Lonchura striata: one gene and its partners. The protein of the gene in region 1 interacts with the protein of each later gene in a biochemical or structural test. Links are inferred from orthologs where the notes say so. Each region holds a gene or a part of one and is shown on either strand. Other genes may lie near its edges.

Region 1 (7,373 bases):
ATTGCCCGTGTTATAAATGAGAATTTATTCAGCCAGATTAAAAATTTAAAAAAATAATTTTATTAGCGGTCAAATTCGATCTAGCCAGCCACAGGGAAAGAACAGAGCCGAGCCTTGGGTCGGCCCTGGGTGTGCCACAAGGAGTCACCTCAGCAGAGGTTTTCTCCTATGCCCACACACCTCCAGCCTGGCACAAGTGAATTTTATAGGGAAAATTCCGCCTGAGGCCAAGATTTCAGCAATCAGTCTTTTCTTCTATTCAGAATCCATAATAAGATTTTCTTTTTTGGTGATGAGGAGAAATAATTCAATGTCTGGAGTAGGTGAATCCCTGATGAGATTTACGGGAAGGCTGCATTCACATGGATCTGTCTGAGGATTTCCATGAGATCCATCTTGGGTCGTTTATGGGATGATCAGCATCAATGATCAACACCTGGAGTCCCCATGGTGAACACCTGGAGTCCCAGTGATCAACACCTGGAGTTCTGATGGTCAGCACCTGGAGTCCCAATGGTGAACACCTGGAGTTCCGATGGTCAACACCTGGAGTCCCCATGGTCAACACCTGGAGTCCCCATGGTCAACACCTGGAGTCTCCATGATCAACACCTGGAGTCCCCATGGTCAGCACCTGGAGTCCAGCCATGGCCCATCTCCTGGCCGAGCCAATCCTTTTATTTGTGACTCAGTTTCCAATATACACCCAGTCTCACCTGCAAGGGGGGGGAACTAATACAAACGGGCATAATCTAACAAGTATCCAATATTCCATATTTCATACAAAGAATGGCGCAAATTATATTTACTACACATAACACCCAGAAGGAGTCTCCAATCCTGGAGACACTCCAGAGCCAGCTGGACACATCCTGTGCCCTGTGCTGGCCCTGCTGGAGCGGGAAGGTGGCACCAGGTGACCCTGCTGTGCTCCCTTCCAACCCGAGCTGCCACATCCCCCCACCAGTTTGGGGTTTCTGGGGGAAGATGTGCAGCTCATCATTCCCCTCTGGCAGGTTTTGAGCCGTGGATGATCACAGGAAGATGAGTTTTGGGTGCTCTCAGTGTCATGCAGAGGCAGAAGCTGCAACCGCAGCCCAGAGCAGCTCAACTCGGCCACGGGCCCTGCCAGGGATCCGGGGAAAGGAGAGATCCCTTGGGAAACCTGCCCTGAGCAGAGGCTGGATGGAGCTAAAGAATAAATTAGGGATTTATTAAAGGATCTCCTCCATGGATCCACCTTGGGCAGCACCAGAGCCCAGCCAGGGCTGCACCCAAATGACCCAAAATGGTCCCAAAATGCACGAGCGCTCCCGGGGCTCTCCCTGGGATCAGTTCTGCTCCATTGGCACCTTGGAGTTCATTGTCCCATTCCAGCTCCAGCCCATCAGTCCCACCCTGCTTGTTTTTCTCTCTCCAGCCCACGGTGTTTGTGCTCCTGGGCTGAGATTTGGATCATTTGTCCTTGGTGCCCAGCTGGAGCAGGAATTGTTTTGTGTCCCTGCTCTGTGCACAGAGCTCAGCATCCCCTGATCTGGAGCCCAGACCCACACACTAAAGCAGCACAGGATGGGAAAAATACAAAATCCAAAACCTGGGGCATCATTAGCAGGCAGAGGGATAACAGGGATTGGAGCAGGGCCCAATCTCCACAGGGCTCCAGTGCAGGAGCAGCTCAGAGAAACTCTGGCAGGTGTTGCACATCACTTTTCCAGCAGAGAAAGGACAGAAGGAGTTCAGAAAAGCTGCTTGCCAGGTGAAATGGGCAAAGCCAGAGCAGGCCAAGCCCTATTTGCACCCAATCCCCAGAGATGATGGACAATGCAGTCTCCAACAACCCAAAAAAAAAGCCGAGATTCAAGAGGAGAGACCCGAGGAACAGCATGGCTGGCTGCAAAAGTGGGAGCAGACGATGGAAAGGACACTTCCCCAGCCTGCAGTTGCTCATTCCATGGGGTTTCATGGTACCCAGAGGGGGGGTGACACAGCCTGAGCATCCCAGAGCCCATCCCGTGTTCCACCAGCTGTGCTTTATTTTCACCTGATCCCTGAGATCCTCGCTCCTCACCTGCTGGGTCCCGGGACAAAGCCCCAAAGGAGCCTCAGCTCTTACAAAGGAAAGCAGAACAACCTCAGCACGGTCACACCCTCCCCTCAACGCTTTGCACCGTCAGAACAAAAGCACCAAAAGTCATTTCCTGACAGCACAAAAAGCTGCTCTGAGGCAAGGGAAGAACAACATGGGCAAAGGAAGGACCTTAAAGCTCCTGACATCACCTTTCTCTACTATTTTGAACCCTTGTGGCCTCGTGCTGCCTGATTGAATGAACTCAGCAGCACGGAAATGGTCACGCTGAGCAGAGCCAAGTGAAAACCCACCAATATCCACACCCTGATGTTAATTTTAGCCCTGCAAATATTTAGCTCTCCGTTTAGATAAATATCCCATGCTCGTGAGAGAGGAGACTCGCCCAGCTGCATCCAGCAGGATCAGGGCTTGCTGGAAATCCCAATCCAGCATGCGAATTAGCAGCATTATCTGCTGGTTTAATCAGCAGGGCGTGAACTCTGGCAGTGCCCGGCCAGGCAGGGACACTCCTGAGCCCCGGGGTCAGCAGGCCGTGCCCTGGCACACCAGGAGAGGCCACGGATGCCGTGTTTGCCTTGGCATCCTCCCTCTTGGCTCGCTGCAGGAAACAGCAAAGCCTTCCTCAAAATCTCCTCTTGCCAGCACAGAACGCTGGAAAACCCTGAGCTGGAAGGGACCCCCGGGACCGTGGATCCAGCCCCTGGCCCTGCAGGGAAGAGCCTTTCCCTGATCTCCAGGCCAAGCCTCCCTGCACAGCTCCAGCCCCGCTCACCAGAGGGAAGAGCTTGAGCCCTGAATAATTCTGCAGTCCAGGAAACCTCCCGTTCTCCCAAAGACACCGAAGCGTTCCCTCTGGCAGCTCCAAGAGGAATTGCTTTCCATGTGCCAGGACATCAGCCGGAGAAATCAGCTCCCAGCTCGGTGTTTTGGAGGGGAAGGGGAAGATGGGTGAAGTCAATCCTACACGATCCCAAGGGAATGCAGACTGTGCCCTCCAGCAGGAGACCCCAGGGCGACCAAGTGCATCCCGGTGGGATGCCAGTGTCCCGTCCGGGGTGGAAGGAGATGGGCTGTAAGGTCCCTTCCAACCCACACCAGCCCGTGATTCCACGATTTCGTGGGATTTGTGTTCCAGGCGCTGCTTCCCCCATCCACCCCCCGAGCTCGGGAGCATCCCCCAGCGCAGGCCGGCTCTCACAGGAGCGGTGGGAGCCGGGCCGTGCCCGTGTCCCTGGCCCCGCTCCCGTGTCCCGGTGTCCCGGCACGGCCCCGGGCGCGCCGTGTGCGTGCAGAGCTGCGGCTCCCCGCGCTGGGCGTGCCGGGCACGGCTCGGGACCAGGGCGGGGCCGTGCCCCGAGCGCTGCCCGCTGCCCCGGGCGCTGAGCCGGGGAGTTCCGCCCACCGGGATCGCTGGCGGTGACCCAGGACAGCGCGGAGTCATAAACCCGATGACGCGGCACTGAATCACCGCAGGCTCGGGCTGGAACGGACCTCCCAGCCCGGCCCGGCCCGGCCCGGGGCAGGGCACGGGCACCTCCCGCTGTCCCGGGCTGCTCCCGGCCCAGTGCCCAGCCCGCCTCGGGCACTGCCAGGGACAAGGGGCAGCCGCAGCCTCTCGGGGCAGCGGTGCCGGGGCTTCCCGCCCTCGCTGCACGCAGCGCCGGTGCGGGGCAGGCTGCACGGCCCGCTCGGTACCGGGCTCGGTACGGGGCTCGGTACCGGTGCCGCTCCGTCCCGCCGGGTGCTGCCCCTTTAAGGCGCGCCCCGCGCGCGCCCCGCGCTGACGCGCGATCGCGTGGCGCCTCTCCCCACCGCGGCCCCGCCCCCTCCGCGCGCCGCCGCGCCCCGCCCAATCAGCGGCGAGGCCACGCCCCCCCTCCCGCGGAGCCCCCCCCTCGGGGGCGGGGCGGCGGCGGCGGCGCAGGCGCGCGGGGCGGGCGGGAAGGCGCGGGCGGAAGGAGGGGCGCGGGCGTGGCGGGGCCCGCGCGGGCGCATGCGCGGGGCGGCGGCGGGGCGGAAGCGGGCGCGGGCGCGCGCGGCCCCTTTCCGGCGGCGCGGGCGGAGGCGGCGGCGCGCGGGGCCCTCAGGTACGGCCGGGCGCTCCCGGGACGCTCCCGGGGCCATCGCGGCCGCTCCCGGCGCTGCCCGGCCCGCGGGATCCTCCCGCCGGTACCCATGAGCTGAGGCGCCGCGGCGGGAGCCGAGGCAGCAGCGGGCGGAGCCGCCGCCGCGGGCCCGGCGGAGCAGCGGAGCCGCCTCCCCGCCGCCCCATGCGCGGCCCGCGCTGAGCCCCGCCCGCCCTTCCCCGCCGGGCCGGCGCTCGCCCTCTCGCCCTCCCTTGGATGCCGCCGAGATGGGCAAGGTGCTGTCCAAGATCTTCGGGAACAAGGAGATGCGGATCCTGATGCTGGGGCTGGACGCGGCCGGCAAGACCACGATCCTGTACAAGCTGAAGCTGGGCCAGTCGGTGACCACCATCCCCACCGTGGGCTTCAACGTGGAGACCGTCACCTACAAGAACGTCAAGTTCAACGTGTGGGACGTGGGCGGCCAGGACAAGATCCGGCCCCTGTGGCGGCACTACTACACGGGCACGCAGGGGCTCATCTTCGTGGTGGACTGCGCCGACCGCGACCGCATCGACGAGGCGCGGCAGGAGCTGCACCGCATCATCAACGACCGGGAGATGCGGGACGCCATCATCCTCATCTTCGCCAACAAGCAGGACCTGCCCGACGCCATGAAACCCCACGAGATCCAGGAGAAACTGGGCCTGACCCGGATCAGGGATAGGAATTGGTATGTGCAGCCCTCCTGTGCCACGACGGGGGATGGACTCTACGAAGGGCTGACGTGGTTAACGTCCAATTATAAATCCTAATGGGAGAGGAACTATTTAGTCTACAAAGAATTAAAGAAACAAAACAAAAAAAAATTTAAACAAACAAACAAAAAAAGAAACAAAAAAAAAAATTAAATAACCCACGTGGCTTTCCAGAAGAATGATTCTCTACTGAAAGTAAAACAAAACCGCATCCATAGGATTATGATCACCTTTCTCCAGTTGCCACCCTTTCCTCCTGCACCCTTGGCTGGATTCCTGTTCTAACTCCTCCTGCTTGGCGTTAGGATGCTCTAACCTCCGAATGTGACACGAACACAGGCACTAGATGCTATGGCAGACTTCCAGCAAACAGGGGAAGGACACATTATAGACTTGCTAAGTAACTTTTTTTTTTGTTGGTTTTTTTTTTCCTTTTTCCTCTTGTTAGCCCTTTGCTGGTTTGATTATTTTGGGGGATGTTGGGGGAGGGGGTCCATTTTCAGTGTATGCTTCCTGGGTCTACTTTTTTGATTATATATATATTTTTTTTCTCTCTCTTCTCTCACTTTGCTGTAGATTGCTACTTTTTTGCATTCTTGCAGGATATGTTGCTAGGTCGACTTCATCTAGTAAACTGAAAATTGTTGCTTAAAATCAAACTGCAGTCTGTCTTTTTATATTAAGGACTTTTTTTTTTTTTAAAAAAAAAAAAAAGTTCTGTTAATCTGTAACTAAACAGTGACTCAGTCTGGCCCCACGGCTCAGGCTAACGAGGGGAATTCTTGCCTGCAGTGGCAGAGAGTGGGAATTCCACTGTAACGTGTTCAAAGTGCGTGTCGGGCGCTGGGAAATGTAAGATCTGCTTTGGAATGTCAGCTGGGAAGTTCTGACCCATACATCATGAATGAGGAGGGATGCAAAACCAGCTCCCCACACCACCTAGCAAAGCAGGCATGAGCGATGCTGTAGTTCCAGGGCAGGCACTGGGCAGGTTTTTTTGTCCTAAATGAGGTTTAGTTGCAGTTTTTTACTCCTTGGTGTCGGTCCTCGGGCCGAGGCCCTTTCCAGCAGATGCAGCAATAAAATGTTGCAATGAGTTTGAGTTTAAATCAGATGTTTTGGCAAAAGTCCAGCTCTGACTTGCCTCTCGCTTCCATCTCAAGGCAGCTGGAGACACCAAAACCTTGAAGGGATTCCTGTTTCTTTCCAACAGGCAGGAGGAAATTGTTATTTATTGTTATTATTGTTCTTTTTCCATGCTGGAGCCTTGCGAGGGCGGCGAGTTCCGAGCCGAGCTCTGCTCGCGCCCGGCGTTTCTGACATCAGGAATGGCCATTTTGAGGAAATCACTGCTTGCTTTGGTTTTCCAAGCCTGGACTGAGCTCCTGCGAGTGGCTGGAGCCTCCTCCCTGTGGCCCGGGGCTGCTGGAGTCCTGTAGGAAAGGGAACTATGTTGGATGTCTGAGGCCCATTGAGGAACTGCTAATGAGAGCGGGGAGGGGAGAGAGAGAGAGAATCGACGCTGAATGTAAACTTCCATAATTAGTTCTTAAAGGGCAAAGCAGCTCGTTAGCCATGTCACAGCCTGTAGCTGGGACTGGCCAATCAAAAACCCCACCCGGAGCGAGTATTTGCATAAAAACTCAATCAAGTATTAATTAACGCTGGGTGCACAAACTGTTAAAGCAGCTGGTTCTTATTCAGCCTTAAGGATTAACTTCAGATTTCCTCAAGGAGTTAAAACTCCGTTGGGGAATTCTAGGAATGTATGCTACAAAACCAGAAGAAAATGGCTTTTATTTTTCCTTTTTTTTTTTTTCCTTAATTGTTTTCTCTTTTCAAGAATATAAGTTTTACATGGAACTGGGGGCATTACACTACATTGCTGCCGTGGTGACTCTGCATGCTGAGTACATTGTACACATGGAGCTCTTACCAAAGATGTATGGGAAGATAAAAATCCTGAATTCACTTCTGAAATCCAATGCTTTGGAGCACTTCAAAGTCCTTTTAGAGTATGGTTCCAAAAAAAGACTTTTCTGGATGTGGGTTGCAAATGGGACTGGATGGGTTCTTGGTGCTAGAAGATAGAGCATTGATGGACTTTGTGAATTAGAGAGAGTCTGCAGAAGCCTAATGTAGAAATAACTCTTCCATCTCGGCCCTAAAGAAGAGGAAGTGAGATTAGTTTCTTTTAATCCAAGGCTTTTTGCCATTGGAATATCATTGCTCTATTTTCTAGCTTTTATTTTTCTTTTCCTGTTGCTGTAACTTAATCAACAGTGTGGTGGTATAAAAACTTAAAATTACAACAATATGGTTACTGTTTTCTTCTGGAGCATCAATAAAATAGCCAAGCACAAAGTAAATGCCTAAACTGGAAAACTTGAAGCTCTATTAATGGTTCTTGAACTTTCTTAAACCTATTCTCAGTCAACATGAAAACTTCAATACCTTCAT
Region 2 (7,318 bases), on another chromosome or scaffold:
CTCTGGTAGGGGAGCTCCAGCCGCAGGAGCCCACGCGCCAGCCCCAGCCAATCCCCGCCGCACCAGCACACCAGTCCGTGCCACCGCCGGAGCCACAGCGGGCGGCTTAAAGCCACTTGGAGGACACGGAGTTTCAGAACTTCCCAGCAGCCCCCCTGCCCAGGCTGCCTGCCCCCCGGCAGCTCCTTTGCCCCCGCGGGGGGCCAGCAGCAGTGTATTTTTAGAGTGGTTTTATCCCTCCGTATTAGAGCATTAAGCATCAGGAGCTGGCGGTCGCATAGCAACGAGCGCCGCATGAGGAAGGTGCACCCAGAGAAGCGCGGCGGTGCGAGCGTGGGGGTGCCACCACGGCCCCCGCTCCCCAGCCTGACCCAGCCCGACAGGCTCAGCCAGCCCTGTGCGCCAGCACGAGCAGACACCAAGCCCCGCTCATGCCCCAGAGGTACTGCCCACTCTGCCGCGGCCCTGGTGTGTGGGGGGCTCCTGCAGCAGGAATCAGGGGTCATGCCCCAGGATCTCAGGCTGGGGGGCAGCTCTGGAGCTGAGGAAATGAGCAACTCTCCCACCCCACAGGCGCTGAGCGAACCCCAAACCGGACTGACAGCTCCTTTCCTCAAAGCAGGAGCGATCTTGAGCACAGGGCATGGCCGTGAGTAACAAACCCCAGGGCCTGTCAGGGCAGGAGCAGCCCAACAGCTCCGCTCACCCGCCCCTGCATCCACTGGGATCGCTGAGCCAGGAGTAACTTGAGTAGGGCAGGCAGAAGCCCAGACCGGGCAGGCAGTGGGGAAGGGCACCCTGGCAGGCAGGAGCAGTTCCTGATCCCAGGAGCAGTGTGACTGAAGAGAGGAGGAGAGAGTGGAGAAGGGCAGCTGACAGGACTGTGAGAGCAGCCAGGCACTTGCTGATGTGACTGACCTTCTGCTTTCAACACCACTTCCCCTTTCCCAAGGGCCAGAGCAGCAGTTACCACATCACCAGAAGGCAAAAGGGCAAGCCAAGGGAGCTGGGGACACAGAGGAGGCTGAGCTGTGCACGTGCTGTACAGGTGCCTGCCTGGGCCTGGACTGGCACTGGAGAAACACCAGTGTGACACAGGCATGTGGGTGCTGCGACTGGGATGGGGTAGGGCCAGGTGGCATCTCCCACAAAGAGTGACCTGGATGCCTGGCTGGGTCCTTGCACCCTGTCCAGGCAAGGTGGGGTGTTTACAAACCATAGCTACAGCCCTGACATGACTGCAAGTGTCAGCAGCAGGGCTCACTGTTCTCTGCTCCAAACACCTCAGGAGAGGAACTGGGCAACTGCCTCTACCCAAGCCCCTGGCTCTGCTCTCTAAGCCTGGTGCTACCCCAGCACTGTCTTTGCTTGTGACCTGGGAGTCCATCCCTGAGTTCTGTGGAAGAGTTGCTCCCCAAGCTGGGCCCAGCAACTTGCCTAGGCTGACTCCACACTGTGCAAAGGAAGCACTGGGGCATCAGCAGCAGCTCCCCCAGGAGTGTTCCCTGGTGTCCAGGAATATGCCGTGGTCCCAGGATGGGACAGCCAAACCTGTACCAAAGGGCTGCCAGCACCCACTGGCAAAACAGGACTTTACAGGCTGGTGGCAAGGAGAGCAGTGACTACCTGGGTAAGGACCCCCTCAGCCAGCCTTCTGCAGACCTGTCACCCCACCCTCCTGGGGATCCCCCACACCTTGTACAGCCCACCCTGCCATCACACACCCATCCTGTCCCAGACAATAAGGCCCCCCAGGCACAAGCTGCTTTGCTGGAGGCTGCATCAACCCCACTTAGAGAAATCCCTTAATCCCTAGGCCAGAGTGAGCAGTAATCCCTTGGGTGCAGTGGGATTACCAGCACTGCCCAATCCCCATCTCCCTGGGGCCAGCCTGAGCCATGACAGGGCCCAGCTCAGGACACAGTGCTAGGACAGGACTGTGCTCCCCACATCCTCTCACCGGTGCTGCAGCTTGGCAAGGCAGGAGCAGCCAGGATGGTTCTCTGCCAGGATACCTCTTCCCCACAGTCCAGAGGCATTTGAGTCACACCACTGCTCTCGGTCAGTTCCGCTCTGGGATGGGTTCAGTTTTGCTGCTGTCCCCACGGGGAGATGCTGGGAAGGGGGTGGGAGTGCAGCCCCACGCCCTGGCAGGAGCAGGGAGAGCACACATCTGTGCTGCCAGCTGCTCACCTTGGGATTTGCTCTCTGCCGAGGCAGACTGAAAAGAGGCTGAAGAGGGGCCATGAGCCATGGGGCAGACACTGGCGTCAGCACAATGCCACCAGAAAGAGACTCCGCGTCGGCTCCCACCATGCTACAGCCTCGGCAGAATGTCCTTGGCTAAACCATGCTTATGGGCTTCAGGGCAGCTGTGGGTTGTGCTGCCCCCAGCACAGGAACAGTGGTGGGGGCTGGAGGCGGCGGTGCACTCCCTGTGGCTTCCGCCACAGAGTGAGCGGGACATTTCTAATGCTGAGATATGACCCGGGATGTCTTCCAGGTGATTCCAGGAAGCACTGGGAGGCTGTTGGCAGAACCGATCCCCACAGCGCTCTCCTGCTAATGGGTTGTATCGGACAACACCCGAGCCAGGCCGCAGCTGCCAGCACCTTCCTTATCTTACACAGTGAAGTCCTTGCAGCCGAGCACTGTCACTTCTGGGGTGGAACAGCAGCTCCTAATCGGCCGCACAGCTGGGCAGGAAACCGGCCGTGAACCGGCACTGCCGGCAGTAGCATTTTGCTGGCACCAGCTGCTCCCAGGAAGAATGGTCACCAGCACGGCTCCAGCACTGGGGCCATTGCCCGAGATTTCACCCAGACTCCAGTCTCCCCTCAGCAAAGGCCCTCCTCAAGAAAAACCACCTGCCGACACACGGGAACCTGCCCGGGAGAGATCAGGCACAGGCAGGGTCTCCCTGTCCAGTCCCGGTCCTCAGCACCGGGAGGGAAGGTACGCTCTGCGGGCACGGAGGGCAGAAGGAAGTGGGAGGAGAATGTACGGGCATGAGAAGGGAGACCTTGCACCCCCTGAGCCGCCGCGGCCCGCCCTGGGAGCGGGTCCAGGGCACACACCGGGAGCTCCCGAACCGGGGGCTGTGACATTCAGCAGGCACCATCGAGGCCAAGCCGCCCTGAGCTCTGCGGGGCCGGGACTCGGCAGTGCCGTGGGAGCACCGGAGCGAAGTGCGAGCGGCCGACGGAAGGCGTGCGGGCAGCGGGCCACGGAGCTCCCGCGGCAGTGGCGGCGCTCCGCGGGCCCGGGGAGGGCGGCCCCGCGCCGCGCCCGCCCCCCGCGCTGCCGCCGGGCACCAGGTGCCAGTTCCGCCCGGCGCTTCCTCCGCCGCCGCCCGCACGATGCCGCCAGGGCCGCTCTGTCACTTGCGGACGCAGGTCCCGCCGCCGCCAAATCCCCGCCCGTCCCGGAGCCACCGCCCCCGGTCCTGCACCTGGCAGCGGCCCGGCCCAAACGCGCCCCGCCCGGGAGAGTAGCCACCGCCCAGCGGGGACTACAGACTGCCCCGGCGCCTCGTCCCGGGCCAGGCGGGTGTCCCAGAGCCCCCCGCCCGCCCCCGGCCCGCACTGACCGCAGCCGCCGCCCTCCTCCTCCTCCATCCCGCCGCCGCCGCTCCGGCCCCGCCCGCGTGACGAGCGCGCCACGGCCGGCACCACGTGACCCGGGCGGGGCGGAGCCTCGCCGGCCCCGCCCCCTGCCGCCCGTCCCGGTGCCCCCGGCCCGCCCCGGTGATCCCCCAACCCCGCCCCGGTGAAACCCCCAACCCCGCCCCGGTGATCCCCCAACCCCGCCCCGGTGATCCCCCCAACCCCGTCCCGGTGCCCCCGGCCCGCCCCGGTGATCCCCCAACCCCGCCCCGGTGAAACCCCCAACCCCGCCCCGGTGATCCCCCCAACCCCGTCCCGGTGCCCCCGGCCCGCCCCGGTGAAACCCCCAACCCCGCCCCGGTGAAACCCCCAACCCCGCCCCGGTGATCCCCCCAACCCCGTCCCGGTGCCCCCGGCCCGCCCCGGTGAAACCCCCAACCCCGCCCCGGTGAAACCCCCAACCCCGCCCCGGTGATCCCCCCAACCCCGTCCCGGTGCCCCCGGCCCGCCCTGGTGAAACCCCCAACCCCGTCCCGGTGATCCCCCCCACAACCCCGCCCCGGTGATCCCCCCCCCAACCCCGTCCCGGTGAAATCCCCAACCCCACCCCAGTGATCCCCCCCAACCCCGTCCCGGTGATCCCCCCCCAACTCCGCCCCGGTGATCCCCCCAACCCCGTCCCGGTGAGCCCGCCCCGCTGCTTGCCCCTCGCCATCGCCGCCTATCATGACCGAGTGACAAAGACCGGGATTTATTCAATTCCATCCTTCAATGCCCGTAGCCACGGCGGCAGCACTCCGGCCCCGAAGGGATCCCCCGGTGCCCCCGCGCCAGCGCGGGGCCGGGCCGACAGGGGGCCGGGGGAGGCTTTCCATGCAGCTTGTGCAGGGGAGGGGGGTCATGGAGTGAGGGGAGTAGGGGAAGATGAGGGTCGGTGACGCTGGGAAGAGGAGGCACAGCAGCTCGGAGTGACAGGGATGGGCTTGAGGCACTTGCCACGAGCCCCCGCAGGGGTGGGCTGGGGCCTGAGGGGAAGAGGCACGGAGAAGCTGATGAGGCGCCCGGCCGAGGCAGGTTGGAGGGAAGGCAGAGTGGGCAGGCTCCTCTGCAGCTGGAAAGCAGCTCGCCGAAGGAAAAGGCACAACGCCAGGGCTGCGGCTGTATTCCCTCCCCTCTGAGTGTGCTCCACCAACAGCTCCCAGGACAGCGCTGCCCTTGGTCCTTGACCTGGGACTGCTCCCTGAGCAGTTGGGGATGCAGATCTCAACCTGTGAGGCAAAGAGCCCTGTCAGACCCCACCAGGCTGCTACCTCATCAGCCCCCAGGCTCACTGTGCCCCCCGGGTCACTCACCTTAGAGCCGGTGGCCCAGGCTGGCCATCTTGGCAGGATGTGACATCAACCAGAAGTTGCGCTTGTTCTGCAACTTCTGGAATGGATTTGAGTCTCTCCTCCGCTCCTGCTTCATCTTCTTAATTTTCTTTACCTGTGCAGAGGAGGAGTGTGCTCAGGTCAGACTGCAGAGGCCCTAGCCTCCCACCTGGCCCAGGCCAGCACCCACCTTTCCTTTGTCAAATTCCTGGTCCCAGTCATCGATGACGGTCTTGCTTTGGGCCAGTGCTGTGTCCCGAATTGCATCCTGGCTCACGGCCGAAATCTCACCCTGCCAGGTCAAGACTACAGAGCGGTGGAGTCAGAAGGACCAGGCTGTGCCACGCTGCACCTGGCCCCGCCCCAGGCCCAAGGCTGGAGCCCCTCGCTGCCCACCCTGTACCAGCCCCGTGGCCGGGTGTACCTGCCTGCTTCCAGGAGCACCCCTGCCTGCACTGGGGTGGGGGGAGCTCAGGCCCTGCAGAGCTGAGGGGACTCTGCCCCCATCCAGGCCTTAGGGCAGGGGGGCTCCATGCTGTTTGCCCACCCACATACCCACATGACCCTGGATTACCTTGCTTGCCATAAGCCCTGTCCAAGGAATTCTGGAGCAGCTTGTCCACCACGCTGGACTCCTGGCCCTCAGGGGCTGTGCCAGCCCAACTGCTGGCCATAGGGCTCAGGGCAGCCAGAGAGAGCCTCTCATCCCCAGTCTGGCTGTCGCTGGGATGTGCTGCCACTGTGGAAATAAGCACGGTGAGGATGAGCCAGGGGGAGCAAGGGCAGCTACCATGTCCCTCCCTCTCCAAAGCAGATCTCATCCCAGGAAACACCATTTGGACAGACAAGGTCCTGATGGCTGAGGGTGTCTGGGCACACAAATGCCTGTCCTGGGGGTCAGTCAAGGGGCCTGTTCCCACCTCCTCTTCCAGGGCATGTGCAAAGGCTCCAGGGCTGTCCCCCAGGAGCAGCAGGCAGGCCTGGGACAGGGCAGCCCAGGCCAGGGAGCAGGACACAGACACTGCCAGGCAGCTGCGGGACCAGCAAGCACTGGGGGTGGTACAGTAGTGCTCCAAGGGGGCTCCTGGGCAGACAAGCCACTGGCCTGACACTGCCAGGCACCAGACAGGGCACAGGGTCACACCTGGGGTAGTGGCAGTGGCGGTGGGAACAGTATCGGCAGCCAGGCTGCTGAGGCTTTCCATCCACTTGCGTTTGCGGTGCTTGTGCTCTCCAGCCTCCACACTCTGATGTGTCTTACAGGGCTCTGGTTCTCTTGTCCTGGAGCTGGGGAAGGCAGCAGGGTCAGCTCACACCAGCCAGACCACAGCAGGAGAGCCTGAGCTTCCAACAGAGCAATAGGGCAGAGACACCCGTGCTGCACCCAGGGAGAAGTGAACCCACCCACAGCAAACAGGTGCTTCAGCTGGATGCATGCTGAGGTGCATCCTACCTGCAGAAAGATGAGAAGCCCCTGACTCAGGGAGCCTGACCTCAGGCTCTCACATGCCCCTCGTCCCTCACCTGTCCGAAAGCAGCATCCCAGAGCTGCACTCTTCTGTCTTCTTCAAAAGCCTGTCTTTGCTTCTATTCTTCTTTTTCTTCTTCTTCCTCTTGAGGGGTAAAGTTGGCTCCATGCCCAGGCCAGTACTGGGCTCTGGCACATGTTGCTTGGGCCCACTCTTCATGTCCTGACAGACCAGGTCATGGCTGAGACCCTCACTGGCCACCTCCTTCCCCATGACAGCCACAAAGTCCCCTGGAGAGGCAACTTTCTTCTTGGGAGGCCTGGTGTCTTTATCAGTGAAGTCCTTCTGAGGGTCAGTGCTTTCTTTCTTGGGGAGCCTGGAGTCTTTGCCCTTGAAGACCTCTGGAGAAATAACTCTCTCCTTCTTGGGAGGACTGGAGACTTCATCCATGCCCTTCACAGCCACAGCACAAGGGCTCCTGTCTGCGCTACGATGCTTCCTCTTCCGACGCTTCTTTTTGAAGGAACCCTCTGGTTCCTCCTGGCCAGATCCTGTCTCCCTGCTGCTACAAAGAAGGTGGTGTGAAGTGTGGGCAGTGGAACCATGGGTCAGCAGGGAGGCCGGGTGCTGAGCAGGCAAGTTGAGCACGAAACTGAAGGCAGACTTTTCAGGATTGGGAAGTTAAAGAGCAGATGAGGACAGGCTGAAGGACAGGAGAAGAGGCTGATCCAAAAGCCTGGATGCCCCTCTCTTCCTCCCTCCCCTGAGGTGCAGAAGCACAACACCCAACTGCTGCCATCTTGGCCACGAAATGGGAATCAGAGGCTACTCTGCAAGCACTCACAGGTCCCACAGCAGACCAGGAAAGAGTGGG
Region 3 (6,818 bases), on another chromosome or scaffold:
CTCCATGCCATCACTGATGATCCTGGAGGTTGATGGTGCACCACACCAAGATGGTTCTCCTGGTACCAGTGGGTGCCACCAGATGATTTTTCACGCCAAGTTATGCTGCTTCCATGCCTGGTCTAGCAGGGGAAGAAGCGGGGAGAGCGGAGGCAAAGGCGAGGCAGGCGCTCCCCGGCGCCTCCCGGCCCGCGGCTCGCGTGTCCCGGGAGCGCGGGCGGGCGGCGCGGGCTCCGCCGGGACGGGGCCGCGCTTCCCGGCGGGCGGGAGCGGCACCCAGCGCCGCACCCCCGCATCCCTCCCCAGACACGGGGCTCGGCCGTCTCTGCCCTCGGCAGCGGAGCCTGGCCAGCAGGAGTCCCTGTTGCTTGTCGCAGGGAATCACGCAGCACTTAAATCTCACCCATCGGACAATTCCTGTTTCACGCCGTTTCTCCCGCCAGAGATAATAGCACACTGACACGGCACATCGCGGTGTGGCACCGTGACTGATGCCAAATGCAGTTTGCAAATGCTGCTGCGGGCTATCTCTGTAGAGATACTGAAAATGGAAAATAAACTTCCAACTTTCCGGATTAAATCTCCTTTAAGCACAGGCTCACGTTTGAACCTTAAGTCCCAAAGTAGTGAAGTAATAGAACAATCTCACTCTCCTGACAATGCCTAGCTTTTCTTTGAACTGCAGCAATTCAGTAGCATTGAAAGGCTCATTTCTGAAGTTTAGGGACGGTCACAGCCTGACAAAATTAGTGCTGAACACAAAGGGTGCTGCTTTTTCTGGTGTGAGCTGTGCTGCAAATGATTTTGGTGAAAATGGGAAGAAAGATGTGCTATTAATCACCTGCAAGGGCATGAACTGTGAGTCATTTTTAACTTAAATAACTTATCTTAAGAAATTATAGTTTTGCATTTGTAAATGTTACTAATGCCCATCCATTTCTTAGTTCATGCAATATTTATTCCAGCATTTGCTAGTAAATAGATTGTCTAAGCAGGGTATTGGTGATAAGAAAATTATTTACATTTATATTACTTCACTAAAAATAATTGAGAGGGATGCCTACTTTGAATCTAAAAGTAGTCATTAGTGTTTCAGTGCATATTTGCAGAGCAAAGTAACTGGCAGGACCCTTCATTCTCATTGGGAACATGAAAATTATGAGCCAGGGAAAAAATCTGAAAACAATAGAAAGAACAAAGCATCTTCATATACACTTTGAGTCAATACATCTGACAACTGAATAATAAACTGATTTTATGGTCTGTGTTTAAAATGCCTGTAGCTGGAAATATAAACTAGGAAAAGATTCAAGTACTTCACCTGTTCCACGCCTTAACCAGTGACATATATTTCAATTTATATGGAGTGATAATAATTTTCTGTGGTAAGAGAATGAAATCATAATGACAACAAGATGTTATTGCATGCAATCTTTAAGGCTTATCAATACATGCAGTAGGTTACACAGCTGATACTCACCATACAGTATGGTCAACATGGACACAGGCATGACAAGGAAACCCAGCAGCATATCAGCTATTGCAAGTGACATTAGAAAATAGTTAGTGGCATTCTGTAGTTTTTTCTCCAGTGAAACAGCCATGATGACAAGAATGTTTCCAGCAATGGTTAAAACAATCACTATTACTGTCAGCAAAGCCGGCCAATTTTTCTGTGAAGGGCAGCACGGTGGGCTCATGTTACTTTCGCATGAAAGATTGGTTAGGTTGTCAGAGTTCACAGTCAAGTTGCAGAGATGTGATATATTAATTTCTGCAGCTCCATAAACATTTCTGTAGAATCTTCTCTCATGATTTATTTGTATGAAGGAGTTTGCAGTTGGGTTCACAGAGCTCACTCCATCGCAAAGAATATCCATTGCTAAGTCCAAAACCACAGAGATAAATTGAGAAAAACAGGAAATTATCACCCTTTGTCACCATTGGGCATTATATTCCTCAGCTCCCCATGTCAGAAGTTGAGGGAACACAATCTTTTGTCGACTGTATTTTTGCCACTAGTGCAATGTAGAAAAACATACCAAAATTACTCCAAAAGCTGAAATGTTTTGTTTTCAGTTCCATAGGAAGTCCAGTGTTGGCATATATTGAAAATCCAGCTGGATAGTAAAACTGGGCTGTAAGAGAGGCTTCAGAGAGAAAAAATGTTGGAGAAATAAAAGACATAAAACTTTTGCAACCACTAGGACTCCCCTCTGGAGCTACATCTTATTGCTATTGGTAACTGTTATCACACAATTTTAAACAGAGCAGTATTAAAATATCTTGCCGTATTAAACAGCAAAGCTCTGGATTCTCTATTAAGAATCTTGATTAATTATTCCATCCAACGTCTTTCTCTCGAAATAATTAAATATGCTTTTATTTATAGTGCATCTTCCATAATATGGCTGATAGTCTCTGTCTTCTGTTGTATTTCAGAATCATTTTCAGCCTCATATCAGAGACTACACATTCTGCTTCATGCTGATTTTTGTAGCTAATTGTACCTTTTGGCTCAGCATGGCTTCAGAATGGAAATTAAACAACTAGATACTGTTATAAAAGAATACAATTTAAGGAAGACTTACATTGCACTTCAGAGCCCACTTTCAAACTGCAAATAAATGCACTTGGCACCCTGGTTTACAATATTCTTCGCTGTGTTTAGCCAGTTCCGTGTCTTTTTTTCTTCAGCCTCCTCCACAACGGTGCTATTTCAAATAGTTTTTTGACTTCTAAACTGCACACACTTGAGTGAAGCCAGTTCCTGTGCTGCGAGGCTTGCTCTTTTCTTCTGAGAGATAGGCTGCTCGCCGGCTCTTTCCTTGTGCATTTCCCCGCCCCAGGGCAGCTATATTTAAAGTAATAATAATATCAGAGCCCTTCTTGAAGTGGCACAAAAGCAAGCACGCACACACATGAGAAAGCAGCCTGCACGGAGGAATTACTGATTGCAACAGGAATGGAATTTCTCCCTTGCTGCCTTGTTCGGATTGTCAGACCTCCCACTCTCTGGATGTCAGAAACTGTAAGGTAGCGACAGCAGAGGAGGGCAGGGGAGGGCAGAGCACAGGGGGTCTTTTTGGTAAGCCAGCAGCTTTTTCAGTGCTTATTTTAGAGGTTCTCTGCTTGGGGGCTTTTTCAAAACATGCTTTCAGTTTGCAGTGGATGCCTCACAAACAGCTGCATGCAATTACAGGGATTTACAGGATGCAGGCTTGAGAGAGACAAAATCTAAGGCTTGTGATGGTAGATACGAGTGAAACATGTGAGAAGTTTTTTCCCTAAAGAGGGGAAATTCCACCAACCTTAAAAGGCAGGCATAATAATATTCAGTCCCCTTCAGTTTTAACTCCAGGTCTGTGCTGACGTGTGAATCAACTTGGCAACAGATACTTATAAAAAATTGAAGTCACTCTGATGTCATACTCATTTGTCAGGAGATGGATGTAACAGCTCAGTCCAGCAGCCTGTCCCAAGCAGGCATCCCAAAGGAAGCAGTTCTGTAAAGCAATGTGTGTATAGAGCAAAGGGGAAACAAAACAGTCTGACACTGCTTCTGCCTTATACTTCTGCTGCCAGGACACACATGAAGAAATAGCCGAGTCTTCAATTTTCCACCTAAAAATACTCAGCTCACAGACTTTCTGAGACTTACAGTTGTCAAAAGTTTGGCTGAATGGGTGTACTGCTCGCCTGCACATCCTGAGATATATTGCAGACTTCCCTCATGCTGAGGGCAATGGCTTTAAACAGGCAGGCTCAGGAAGTTTTCAGTGAGATCTCAGAGAGGTGCCAGTGTCACTGGGCACCCGTGGCTCCTGGCAGACCCTTGGGAGCTGCAGGCTGCTAGCATAGCTCAGCTCTGTGTGCAGCACTGTCAACTCTGCTGCAGATCCCAGGGAACTTCAAGCATATGGAGAATTACTACAGCTCAGCTGACATGTGCTAATCTCTTCATGGACCCAAAACCATTCCAAAGTGAGTCTCAGAGCACACACTGATGCCCATTCAGATCAGTAACTGGGGCACAGTTACAGAAAGCCTTTCTCAGTAGTTTTTTGGAGCCAGTTTTACTCACAGGTGAACCCAGCAAGACTGGGAAAATGACGCAGTAGCTTCCACTAATACCCATGTGGGACTTGGAAATGTGTCATGGTAGTAATAAAGTTTCCCAGTCCCATAGGTGAGGCCAGAAGACTATCAGACAGCACAAACTGGTAAAAAAGTTGATAAAGCTGAGTTTAGCAAGAAATGTGTTAGCTCTGGCAGTCTCACCCAGAAGCCAGAAGAGGAAATTTCCTCTCTCCTTTCATACAATAATCAAATAGGGTACTGTGTTCACCAAGTGAATTTGGCATCCATGCTCCAGAGGATTTGGTGGCCACTGCTATGAATATGATAGTGCATATCTGATACAGAGGGTGGGCTCCACTTCTGCTGAATGCAGCTGTGGCAGCAGCTCTCTGGCCACAGAGAGCAGGCACAGACTTTCCCAGGCATTTTCCCAGGGAAAGCTGTGAGAAGATCAGAGAAAAGTATGAAAAACAATTCTTATCTCCACTCGCACCTGCTGTTGTGCACATGTAAAATGTGTCATGGAGATTTGTTTACTAAAGGGTGATTTCTTAAATAAACACTAGATAATATTTAGATAGATTGACCAGTTAGGTCAAAGCTGTATCAGACTAGCTGTAAGAGTTAATAAGTTTTTTGATAAGTATAGTAAAATATAGTATAAGATGATATAATAAAGCAATTGATGAAACTTCTACAATTGTGGAGTCAATACTAATTATTACCCAGCTGAAGGCCTGTGGTGACATGCAGCCACTGTGCAGAACAGGGCACAGCACCTCTTGGCTAGGGCTACATACAACCTTTGTGAGGAGCCCAGGTGTCCCGTTGTTTTCTTAGAAGGTTGGCTCAGGGCTCTGACTGCTATAGCATAGCAGTCATGGGTGTGTCATGGATGTCACTCCTAAGAGAGAATAGCTACAGGTTTATTGATATAAACCAGTGATTTTGTCAAGCTTCATGGTAAATGTGAGAAGGGTTCAGTAAGATCTGATGACAAGGTGCACTTGATTATTTATGGCACAGAGGACTGGGTCAGATAAGAGAGACAGGGAGAAAGACTCTCTTGTTGAGTCATGAGGTTCAGAAAAGACCTCCTTGTGTTCTAAGTGCCTTCTCATAATGGAGTTTATGTGTGCCTAATTCCAAACTTAGACTTAGTCAATGGTTTATATCTCAAGGATTATATGTTCACAATCAATCTTTTGTGTCACTTAGCTAAGATTTCAGAGTTTAGCATGCTATTATTCACTTACTGAGAATCTCCTGAGTCAAGGGATCTCTCAACTCTGAGGAGTGACCTTGAGAACTACTACTCAAAGCCAAGACCCTGGCAGACAATCCACTGCCCTGCAGGAGAGATCAATAAGCCCTGGCTGTTCACTATTTATGAAGTAAGATAATTGACTTATAGTCATATTTGCATACCAGCTACAGAAGTTAATTTCCTCCAAACTTGGCCTGAGTTGGACCTTGACAAACAGTATGGTTGGGGGTGTGCAATGACTCATTTAAATCTGCAGCTCTATTCAGGACATCAAAAACATAAAAGTAAAGTGCAAACCAGCTAACTGTTGCCTTGCCTAAGACCTTTGCAGCTACAGTCATAAGCTCTTCATTAAAGGACTGCACTGTTTACTGTGGTGTAGCTGTAGACATTTGAGTATCTACCACAGGGTCTGAGTACCTTCTGGAAACTTAGCTTTCCCGACAGAAAGCAATTTGGCATATGTGAAACTGAGGCACAGGCATCTTAAAATTTTTTTAGGTTTGCACATGAAGCATTGATAAATAAGAAACCAGCTTTGTGCAGGTTGACATATCAGAAAAAAACTGTGATCTTATGTCTTCTAGCGTGTGTGTTGGATGTACAACTGATCATGAATTTATTGTAATATTTATCTCAGGATTTTTATTTTATTTAGACTGCAAAATCACTCATCTCACCTCACCCCAAGAACCTGAAAATTGTTTTCCTTCCATATAGCATCACTGCAGGAATCAAGCAAAGGAAATGTCCAATCTTTGTTTGCAGAGCCCAACAAAAAGAGAATACCAGGGCTCTCATCCATCTGCAAAACCAAGCGTGAGCTCTACCTTGAGAATTCAGCATGGAATAACTCCTAGGTGATCAGTCACATCCAAACCAGCCTTGACCACTGCTTTTCCTAAAGGTGGAAAGCTCTGGAAAACTGTAGGCTCCATGCTCTTCTATTTTAAACAAAGGAGTTTGCAAGTCTGTGGCAGCAGAGCCTCGCACGCTGCGACCTGCACTCCCAGGCAGCGCGTCTGCGCTAAGAGCAGGCAGCTGCTGTCTGTCCCAGCCTATGGAAATTAAGTGAAATCTTAGCTTAAAATGGCAATAATGTGGTCTGTGGTAGACAGAAAGCAGTCTCTAGAAACACAGCTGGCATGGGAACAGACTGCACATTGCTTTTTAATTTCTGGAAGGCACCAATGTAACAAATTCATCTCAGCCCCTCCCCTGGTCCCTAGCTCTGCTTGGAAATTTTTTGTAGGACGTTATTCTGTTCTCTTCAGTAGGGTTTTTATGCTTGGCATGGTGCACATAAACACTTCCTAGAAATGCTGCTTTTCAACAATTTTTGTCTGAAAGAGGAGCAGTTAAAAACCTAGTTTACATAATTCAAATTTGTGTTCTCAGGATTGATTCAGGTGTAAAAATTCCCAGTTTCTGAGTTTGCCATTGTTCTCTGATGTTCTGAATAGATTTTGTA
Region 4 (7,833 bases), on another chromosome or scaffold:
CACTGCAGCAGGGGGACACAGGGCCCCAAGGCGCCTGTGAGTCCCCCGAGCCACACCGAGAGCAGCTCCTCATGGGAGGGGAGCAGGAAGGCCCACTGGTGTCCCCTCACACTCACCTTGTAGGTGTTGATCCCCCACTTCTTGACAATGTCGAACTTCTCAACGGCAATGCCGCGCACGACCTCTTCTCCACCAGGCGGGGGTCCTGGGGGTGGTGGGTGCAGCCCAGGGCCTGGCACAGGGACAGGAATATGGCACCAGCTGCACGAGGGCGGCAGCCACGGGGAACGGGCAGCCCCAGCCTCCAGAGCCCTTGTCCTGGAGCTGCTATTTCTACAACAGCATGCCCAGCTCCAGGCATATGCCCAGCACTGGCTCACAGGCATTGTGATGAGGACCCTGCTCCTGCCAGCCCCCCTGAGGGTCCCACACAGGGGCACAGATCCCAGCCCAGCCATATCTGCTTGCACCAAGCCCTGCCCCATTCCTGCCGACTGCTGTCACCAGGCTGGACACAGGGGGAACACTGCCCAGTAGTACTGGGAGCCCCTCAGGTGGGCTCCAGGGGCAGGGTGGGCCCCTCTGGCCAGGACCCACCTCTGAAACCCCTGGGCCCACCAGTGCTGTCGTCTGTCCCAGCACAAGGATCAGCCCCAGGACCAGGCTCTGGCCATGACACAGCCGCCATGGGGGTTCTTACCAACGTCCCTAGGGAGGCCCGGGGCCCCCAGACCCAAGGGACGCCCGGGGTGGAGTGGGGGGCGCAGTACCTGCGGGAGCCGCGGCCGGGCGGGCCATCCTACGGGCAGCAGGCGCGCTGGGGGCAACCGACGGTCCTCGGGGGGGGTGAGGGTGGACAAGAGAGCCTGGAAATGGGGGGGCTGCGGGGGCTGAGCAGTGTGGGGCAGGACAGGATGGGGGCACAGGGCATGGCACAGTGGGGTAGCCAGGGCAGAGGGACGGGGGGGCAAGGGACAGGGGCGAGTGCGCGGGCGGGCGGCAGCGGGAGAGCGACGGCAGCAGGTGAGCGTTGGAACCCAGAGACACTGCCACAGCCTCACAGACGGATGCCCCAGCCCAGGAAACCCCCACCTCTGGCCCCTGTGCAGGAACCCCTGCACTCCAAGGGCTGGGTAGGCCTGGCATCACGAGCACGCTGGGACACAGAGACACAGGGACACCGGGCCAGCAGTGGCGGTGCTCCGGGGAAGTGCACACCCGTGCAGTCTCCCTCTCTGCCCATATGGACCTTCCTCAGGCCCTGGGGAAGATCTCTCAGGGAGAGATCTGCATGGAACAAGGACAGTGCTGCCAGGTCTCCCAGGGTGCAGAGCCCAGCTGGCCCCGCTGTGGCCCGGTCTGACTGGGACAGCAAGAAGGGGTCAGCAGAGTGTGGGCTTGTGCCCCTGCCTGCCCCCTCATCCCCAGCACACTCCAGAGCTCCCGCTGCACATGGACCAGGACACAGCAGGGATCCTCCACCAAGCAGGGATTCAGAATCTCACGGGGATGTCCTGACCAAGGGGATGGAAATTCCCAGCAGAGCCCACCCTGTGACAGGGGAGCAGCCCAGGGAGAGCGGAGCTGGGGCAGCAGCCCCTCCTCTGCCATCAGTGCACACTGCCACATGCTGCCCCTACACAGAACCCAAGCCCACCCAGGAGCCACCTCGGCCAGGCTGTGGCACAGCCTCGTGTCATGAGTCAGGGGCACTGAGAAGAGATGAGCCCCTTGGTCCCACGATGGCCCCATTCCCTCCCAGCCCAACTCCACTACCTTTGATGGTGCCGGTGGGGATGATGCCCTCAGCCGTGCCCCCGTAGCCACCTGACACAATGCTGGTCTCATTCAGGTTGGGTCCTGACACCATCACCTGCTGCAGGTCCTGGGGGGCAGAATAGCACAGGGGCTGAGAGGCAGAGATGGCACAGCCCTGGTACAACCCAAACACCCCCTAGGGTTCCCGAGCTCCAGACCTGCTCCAGGCCATCGTCCTCGGGCAGGCTGCTGGTGTCCCCGTTGCTGCTGATGGGGATCTCCATGGTGGCTGCCTTGCTCAGGATCCCGTCCGACATCCTCAGGGCCTGCAGGGACACGGCCGTGGTGCTGGGGCCAGGACCACCGCCCGGCCGGGGGCAGCAGCCACAGCCGGTACTGCGGGGCCGTGTTGGGACAGCAGGAGGCTTCGGCGCAGAGAGAAGGGCCCACATCGGCAGCCGCTGGCACCGAGCAGAGGCTGCCCGCTGCCTCCTGCAGCCACTCCCAGCCCGGCCCCACCGTCTCTCGGGACACCCCCGGCCCCCAGAACCGACCCGTGGGGTGGCACATCCCAGAGACCGCTGCGGCTCCCACACCATCACGCCAGGGCTCCAGGGCTCCCCCGCCCCTCGGGCCGCACTCCGTGCCCCCTCTCACGAACCCTGCCGGGATCCCCGCAGTCCGTGCCCCGGGACAGCGGCGCTGGCAGCGCGCAGCGCGGCGCCGGGAGCCACGTCCGCAGGAGAGCGGGAGGGGGCCCGCTGCGCTCGGACCGGTCCGGGCACATTCGACAGCAGGCGGGGCCCGGGGCGGGCTCCCGAGAACCCGTTACCTGCGACCTGTGCCCTCCCCGGCGGGGACAGGGCCCGGCCCAGCGCGGGGGGCGAGCCCTGCGGGCAGAGGCTGTCACCGCCCGGGGCCATCCCGGCCGCGGAACGGCCCCGCAGCCCCACAGCCCCCGCGGCGGGCGGGGGCAGCGCCCGCACGGAGCCCTCCGCAGCCACGCACGGCAAGGCCCCGGGACGGGACCGACCTCCGAGGGAACCCCCGGTGGCCGCTCCCGGCGGAGCCGGCCCGAGCGGGCGGCGGCGGCCGCAGCCCGGCTCCCGGGGCTCTCTCGGCCAGGCCCCGCTGGCCGTGCGCGGCCCCCCGGTGCCCCCCAGCCCCACCTGCGCCCCGGCCCCGCCGGGCCCCCCGCGCCGCTCCCGCTCCGCTCGGCCCGGGCGCGCCGCAAGTGCCGTCAGGGCCCGGAGGTGGCGTCATGGCTGAGCCGGGCGGATGTGACGGCGCGGGGAGTGCGGCGGGAGCGGCCCGGGCCGGGCCCGGCATGGACCCGGCGGCCGAGCACCGGCAGCAGCTCCGCAGCGTGAGCCGGGGGCGGCGTGTCCCGCCAGGCCTTCGGGGGGGTCCCGGGGCTCCAGCTGGGGGGTCGCGAGGTGCCGGGGTCGCAGGAGAGCCGGCGGGGCCCTGGAAGGGACTCGGGCTGGCCGGGGGGCGCGCCGGGACTCGCGGTGGGTTTCGGGGGTACCGGAGCGGCTCCGCCCGGTGTGATCCGCGCCTGCTCCCCAGCTGCGGGATTTCCTGCTGGTCTACAACCGCATGACCGAGCTCTGCTTCCGCCACTGCGTCTGCAACCTCAACTACCGGCTGCTCACGGGCCGCGAGGTGAGCGGGGCCCGGGGGCCGCGGGCCGGCTGCCCCCGCGCCCCCTGACCCCCGCCGTGCCCCGCAGGAGTCGTGCCTGGACAGCTGCGCCGCGAGGCTGGTCCGCGCCAACCACCGCCTGATGGGCGCCTACGTGGGACTGGTGCCGGCGCTGCTGCAGCGCCGCGCAGCCGAGCACGGCGCTGCGGCGGGGCCGCCCGCACTGCCGGCCTCCCCTGGACCGGCCCCGGGCCCCGCGGAAGACGCTCCCGCTGCCGGCACGTAGAAGCCCCTGGCCGCAGCTCCCCGCGGCCGTCGGACGCAGCAGCAGCCCTGCTGCGCTGGAGCTCCAGGCTGGAGCAGCATCCGCGCTGGGCCCCCGGAGCCCCGAGCAGCGGCTGGGCTATGCAGGGCACCGAGGATGGGGGGCACAGGAACAGGGGAAGGCCCCCCCTAGCCCTCCTGGCTGTGGATTTCTGGGAAGTGGAGTGTGAATACCAATAAAACATCTTCACAGTAATGGCTTAGTGTGACACGTGGGGAGGGCACCAGAGCCCTGGCCCCTGTTCGCTGCTGTGTGAACCCATGGCACAACAGGGAATCCAGGGAATTGCACCTCACTGGGAGACAAATGTCTCCCTACAGGACGCCCGTGATCACCGGGACATTGCAGGGCCCTGAACATTCTCACTGCAACTGTCAGGTGCAGAGCAGGCACTCAGGGCAGGGGGAGGGGGCAAGGTGGGGGTAGATGTCAGGTGCTGCCAGGCCAGTGCCCACCAGCTAAGGGCGTGTGTATGCGTGGTCCCTAGGAGATCCTGGCCTCTTCTCTCCCTGCTGCAGCCCCTGGGCAGAGGGCGTGAGCTGCGGGTCCGGGACAGGCCTTAAGGCAGGTAAGCACAAGCCCCAGTACAGAAATAAATTGATATATTCCGTGTACAAAACATGCTCCTGCAGGCCCGGCCGGGCACTCCCGCGCATATAAATAAGGCCCGGCCCGACCTCCCCTCTGTCCTGCCCACGGGGGCCAGCGCCTGCGCCGGGGCCACCCCTCCCGCGGGACCCCCGGGCTGGCCGGGGTCACTTAAGGTCCACATCGAAGTCCAGCACCAGCAGCTTGGTCTCCTCGGTGCCATTGCGGCTGCCCACAGCACACACCAGCTTTGTGTTGGAGGCGCGGATGCGCCACACCACCCCACCCGAGCCCCCGCTCTCCAGGGCCACCAGGTTTCGCACAAACTCCCCTGTCTTCAGGTCCCACAGCTTCACTGTCCCGTCATCCGAGCTGGTCACCACGAACTTGGAGCTGAACTGCAGGCAGGTGACGGCACTCTGGTGCTTGCTGGGACCTATGGGGAGGCACCCATGAGCCCCATGCATACCTGGGCCACCCACTGCTGTTGACATGGATCCTGCCACAGCTGGCAGCTTACAGCCAGCCCAGTCTCAAGGGCAAGGAGCTCCCTCCCAGCCCTGCCCCTTCCCAGCCCCCTGATGGAGAGAACATCCCACTGCCCCCCAGGGGTAAGGTATCCCCTCTCACCCTGCAGCGTCTGCAGGCACTGCCCTGTCTTGATGTCCCAGATCTTGACGGTGGAGTCGGCGTTGCCGGACACCAGGATGTTGTCACGCAGCTCCATCCCGCTGGTGAGTGACTGGTGCCCCATGAGCGTGTGCAGGCAGTTCCCGCTCTCCACATCCCACACGCGGATTGATGTGTCCAGGGACCCACTCACGATGTGTGTCCCATCAAACTGCCAGAGAGAAGGGGTCCAGCTCAGGATCGAGGACAGGAGTGTCCCTGGTTTGGGGCACAGCCCACAGCTCCGGCACTCCCTAGTCTGGGATACAGCACGCCCAGTTCCAGCACCAGCGACCCCAGTTCAGCAGCTGAGACACAGGCTCATGTGCCTCTTGGCTTTTTGAGCTGTAATGCTCCAGGGAAGGGGCATGGACGAGTGTTTGTGTCCACAGCATATGTGTGTGGGAAGTGGGATCAGGGGGGCAGAGACTGTCCCCAAAGGACACAAACAGGGTCCATGTGTCCTTGCAGGGCAGATACAGCCCCTTCAGGGCACACATGTCCCTGCAAAGCTCACAGGGCCTTGCACGACACACGCACAGCCTATTTGTCCCTACAGCACATGTGGGACCTTTGGCACAGCTTGTACCCATGACTGGAAGGCAGGGGAGAGATAGCAAGCCAGCAGGAAGGCAGGTTGTACCTGCAGGGAGCAGGGAGGGCAGGGGAGCAGCAGGAGGGAATGTGTGCAGGGCCGTACCTGCAGTGAGTAGACACGGTTGGTGTGCCCCTGCAGCGTGTGGGTGCAGCTCTCGCTCTCGGGGTCCCACACCTTGACTGTGTAGTCGTAGGCACCACTGACCACCTTGTTGCCATCATACTGGACGCAGCGCACGGCTGCCACATGGCCCATCAGCACATGCAGGCACTGCCCCGTCTCGATGTCCCAGAGCCGTAGCGTGGCATCCCGCGAGCCGCTCACCACCCTGCGGGTGAGGGGACACCTGGGGCCCAGCTGCCAGGGCAGCCTGGGGCTAACAGCCTCCCCGTGGATATTGTCCTCCCTCACACAGCACCCACAGCCCGTACCTGTTGCCGTGCAGGTGCATGCAGCGCACGGTGGAGGTGTGTCCGTACAGCGTGTGCACGCACTCGCCGCTGTCAGCGTTCCACACCTTGAGTGTGCGGTCAGTGGAGCCGCTGATGACAATGCTGTCCCTCATCTGGGAGGACCAAACCCCCCCAGTGTGGCCCACCAGCGTCTGCACACACTGTGGGGAACAGGACGGGAGAGGCAGGTGAGCCTCTCGCACTCCCCCACCCCAAAACAGCACAGAGGAGCAGCACAACTCTGTGTCCTTGTCATAACGGGCCCAAACCGACCCCAGCAGTCAGGGTGTAGCCCCAGCTGTGCCCAGCACAGGGAGATGGTCCCTGCCCCAAGCCCCTGTGGCGCCAGTGACAATGCCACACTCACTTGCCTGGTGACAGTGACACTCACCTCCCCTGTGACAGCTGACCACACTTTGAGTGTGTTGTCATCAGAGCCGCTTACTATGCGATTCCCACAGAACTGCAGGCAGGTGATCACATGGTCGTCGTGGCCCTTCAGTACCTGTGGGAGCACAGGAGGGTGTGGGGGGCAGTGTGGCCCCACCCAGCCTGCAGGATCCCCCAGCATAATGAGCAGTGGGAAGGTAGCAGGAGCTGTGGGGAGGAAAGGCAGACGGGTCTCCAAACCACCTGCACCCCCTGGTGCTTCTGCAGGGCAGGGGAGCTGGGGTGTGTGGTGTGTCTGCTGCAGGGCCGGGGGTTACAGCAGAACAGGGAGTAGGAGGCTCAGGAACCCAGCAGCAAGAGAAGGGGTGGTGAGGACTCTGTCCAGGGGCAGGAGGGACCCCCACGGAGAGATGACCAGGGTTCTGGGACCCTGCACAGAACACAGTTGAGCCCTGTGACACTGCACTTTCCTTGGGTGCTGAGGCTGGCTGCAGCCCTGGATGGGGCCTTGGAAAGGGGCAAATGAAAGGACCCCCTTCTCCAGGCCCAGGAGATCTCATTTCTGCTGTCCCACTGCTCTGAACAAGCCGGATCTGCTCCCCATGGCAGATCCTGCGCCAGCTTCCCCACACCAGGGGCCTGAGGTCTGTCCCCAGAGGGACCCCCACCAGCCCCTCAGCCCACCAGGGTCCACCCCTGGCAGGAGCACTCCCAGGCTCACCCTGGGGACCACAGCTCCCTGGAGTCAGCACTGGGACACCCAGACCTACTTTGGGGGGCCGCAGCTCCCCACTGCGCCAGTTCATGTCAATGCGGTGCTGACGCAGGAAGGCGAATTTCCAGGGGCTGTACATGAATCCGGGACTGAGCAGGCGTCGCTTCCTCAAGTGTAGGGGCTCCTCGATCCCTGCAGGGGACAACACAGCAGTGCCTCACCTGGATCAAGCCTGGGGTGGCCCCAGCCCCCAGCCGGGAGGGCCCTCACCCTCCTCACGGCACTTCTCCCTCCAAAGCAGGTTGTCCTCGGCCAGGACTCTCCAGTAGCGGCAAGTCTGGGCGGCACGGAGCAGGTCCCGTGGCTCCAGGAAAGACAAGACGTACAGGGCCAGCTACGTGGGGATAAAGGTCACAGAGAGGTCACAGGGGGAAGATCAGGTCAGGCCAGGCCCCTGGTCCCCAGGCTTCACTCACCTCCTTGGGCAGCAGGGAGATGAAGTCGCGCTGGAACTGGGGCTCGATGACCTGCATCATGTACTTGATCTGCGCTGGCTCACAGCGGTCAATGAGCTCATCCAGGGCCAGCAGCTTCTCAGGGCCGCTCCAGCGCTGCAGGGGGACCCCCAGTGACCCAGTGTCCCCAGCGAGCCCAGACACAGCCCTAGCAGCCAGGCCTCTTGTGCCAGGCCAGG

What was found.
Region 2: the proteins of ARF6 (region 1) and CYTH1 form a complex in vitro, tested with the Homo sapiens proteins (2 studies listed by BioGRID and IntAct, with this or other methods). The link is inferred for Lonchura striata from reciprocal best matches to the Homo sapiens genes ARF6 and CYTH1.
Region 3: the proteins of ARF6 (region 1) and HTR2A form a complex in vitro, tested with the Homo sapiens proteins (2 studies listed by BioGRID). The link is inferred for Lonchura striata from reciprocal best matches to the Homo sapiens genes ARF6 and HTR2A.
Region 4: the proteins of ARF6 (region 1) and ARFIP2 form a complex in vitro, tested with the Homo sapiens proteins (2 studies listed by BioGRID). The link is inferred for Lonchura striata from reciprocal best matches to the Homo sapiens genes ARF6 and ARFIP2.

Annotation. Positions count from the first base shown.
Region 1 is NC_134608.1:1,966,717-1,974,089, forward strand, and holds the start of ARF6 (ADP-ribosylation factor 6), read left to right. Parts: upstream 1-4,360; 5' UTR 4,361-4,442; coding exon 4,443-4,970; 3' UTR 4,971-7,373. UniProt on the Homo sapiens protein: GTP-binding protein involved in protein trafficking that regulates endocytic recycling and cytoskeleton remodeling. GTP-bound form plays an important role in the transport of multiple palmitoylated proteins form the Golgi to the plasma membrane.
Region 2 is NC_134621.1:11,768,837-11,776,154, reverse strand, and holds the start of CYTH1 (cytohesin-1), read right to left. Parts: upstream 3,007-7,318; 5' UTR 1-3,006. Other genes in the region: USP36 (ubiquitin carboxyl-terminal hydrolase 36), read right to left, coding at 4,959-5,090, 5,166-5,281, 5,550-5,714, 6,120-6,262, 6,500-7,009. UniProt on the Homo sapiens protein: Promotes guanine-nucleotide exchange on ARF1, ARF5 and ARF6. Promotes the activation of ARF factors through replacement of GDP with GTP.
Region 3 is NC_134604.1:61,622,371-61,629,188, forward strand, and holds the start of HTR2A (5-hydroxytryptamine receptor 2A), read right to left. Parts: upstream 3,008-6,818; 5' UTR 2,592-3,007; intron 2,151-2,591; 5' UTR 1,881-2,150; coding exon 1,481-1,880; intron 1-1,480. UniProt on the Homo sapiens protein: G-protein coupled receptor for 5-hydroxytryptamine (serotonin).
Region 4 is NC_134604.1:116,966,967-116,974,799, forward strand, and holds the start of ARFIP2 (arfaptin-2), read right to left. Parts: upstream 3,012-7,833; 5' UTR 2,928-3,011; intron 2,085-2,927; 5' UTR 2,076-2,084; coding exon 1,977-2,075; intron 1,886-1,976; coding exon 1,777-1,885; intron 882-1,776; coding exon 771-881; intron 233-770; coding exon 117-232; intron 3-116; coding exon 1-2. Other genes in the region: TIMM10B (mitochondrial import inner membrane translocase subunit Tim10 B), read left to right, coding at 3,086-3,124, 3,328-3,423, 3,491-3,688; RRP8 (ribosomal RNA-processing protein 8), read right to left, coding at 4,483-4,751, 4,946-5,156, 5,685-5,910, 6,014-6,195, 6,426-6,539, 7,195-7,331, 7,410-7,533, 7,616-7,750. UniProt on the Homo sapiens protein: Plays a role in constitutive metalloproteinase (MMP) secretion from the trans Golgi network. May have important functions during vesicle biogenesis at certain cargo subdomains, which could be predominantly utilized by secreted MMPs, such as MMP7 and MMP2.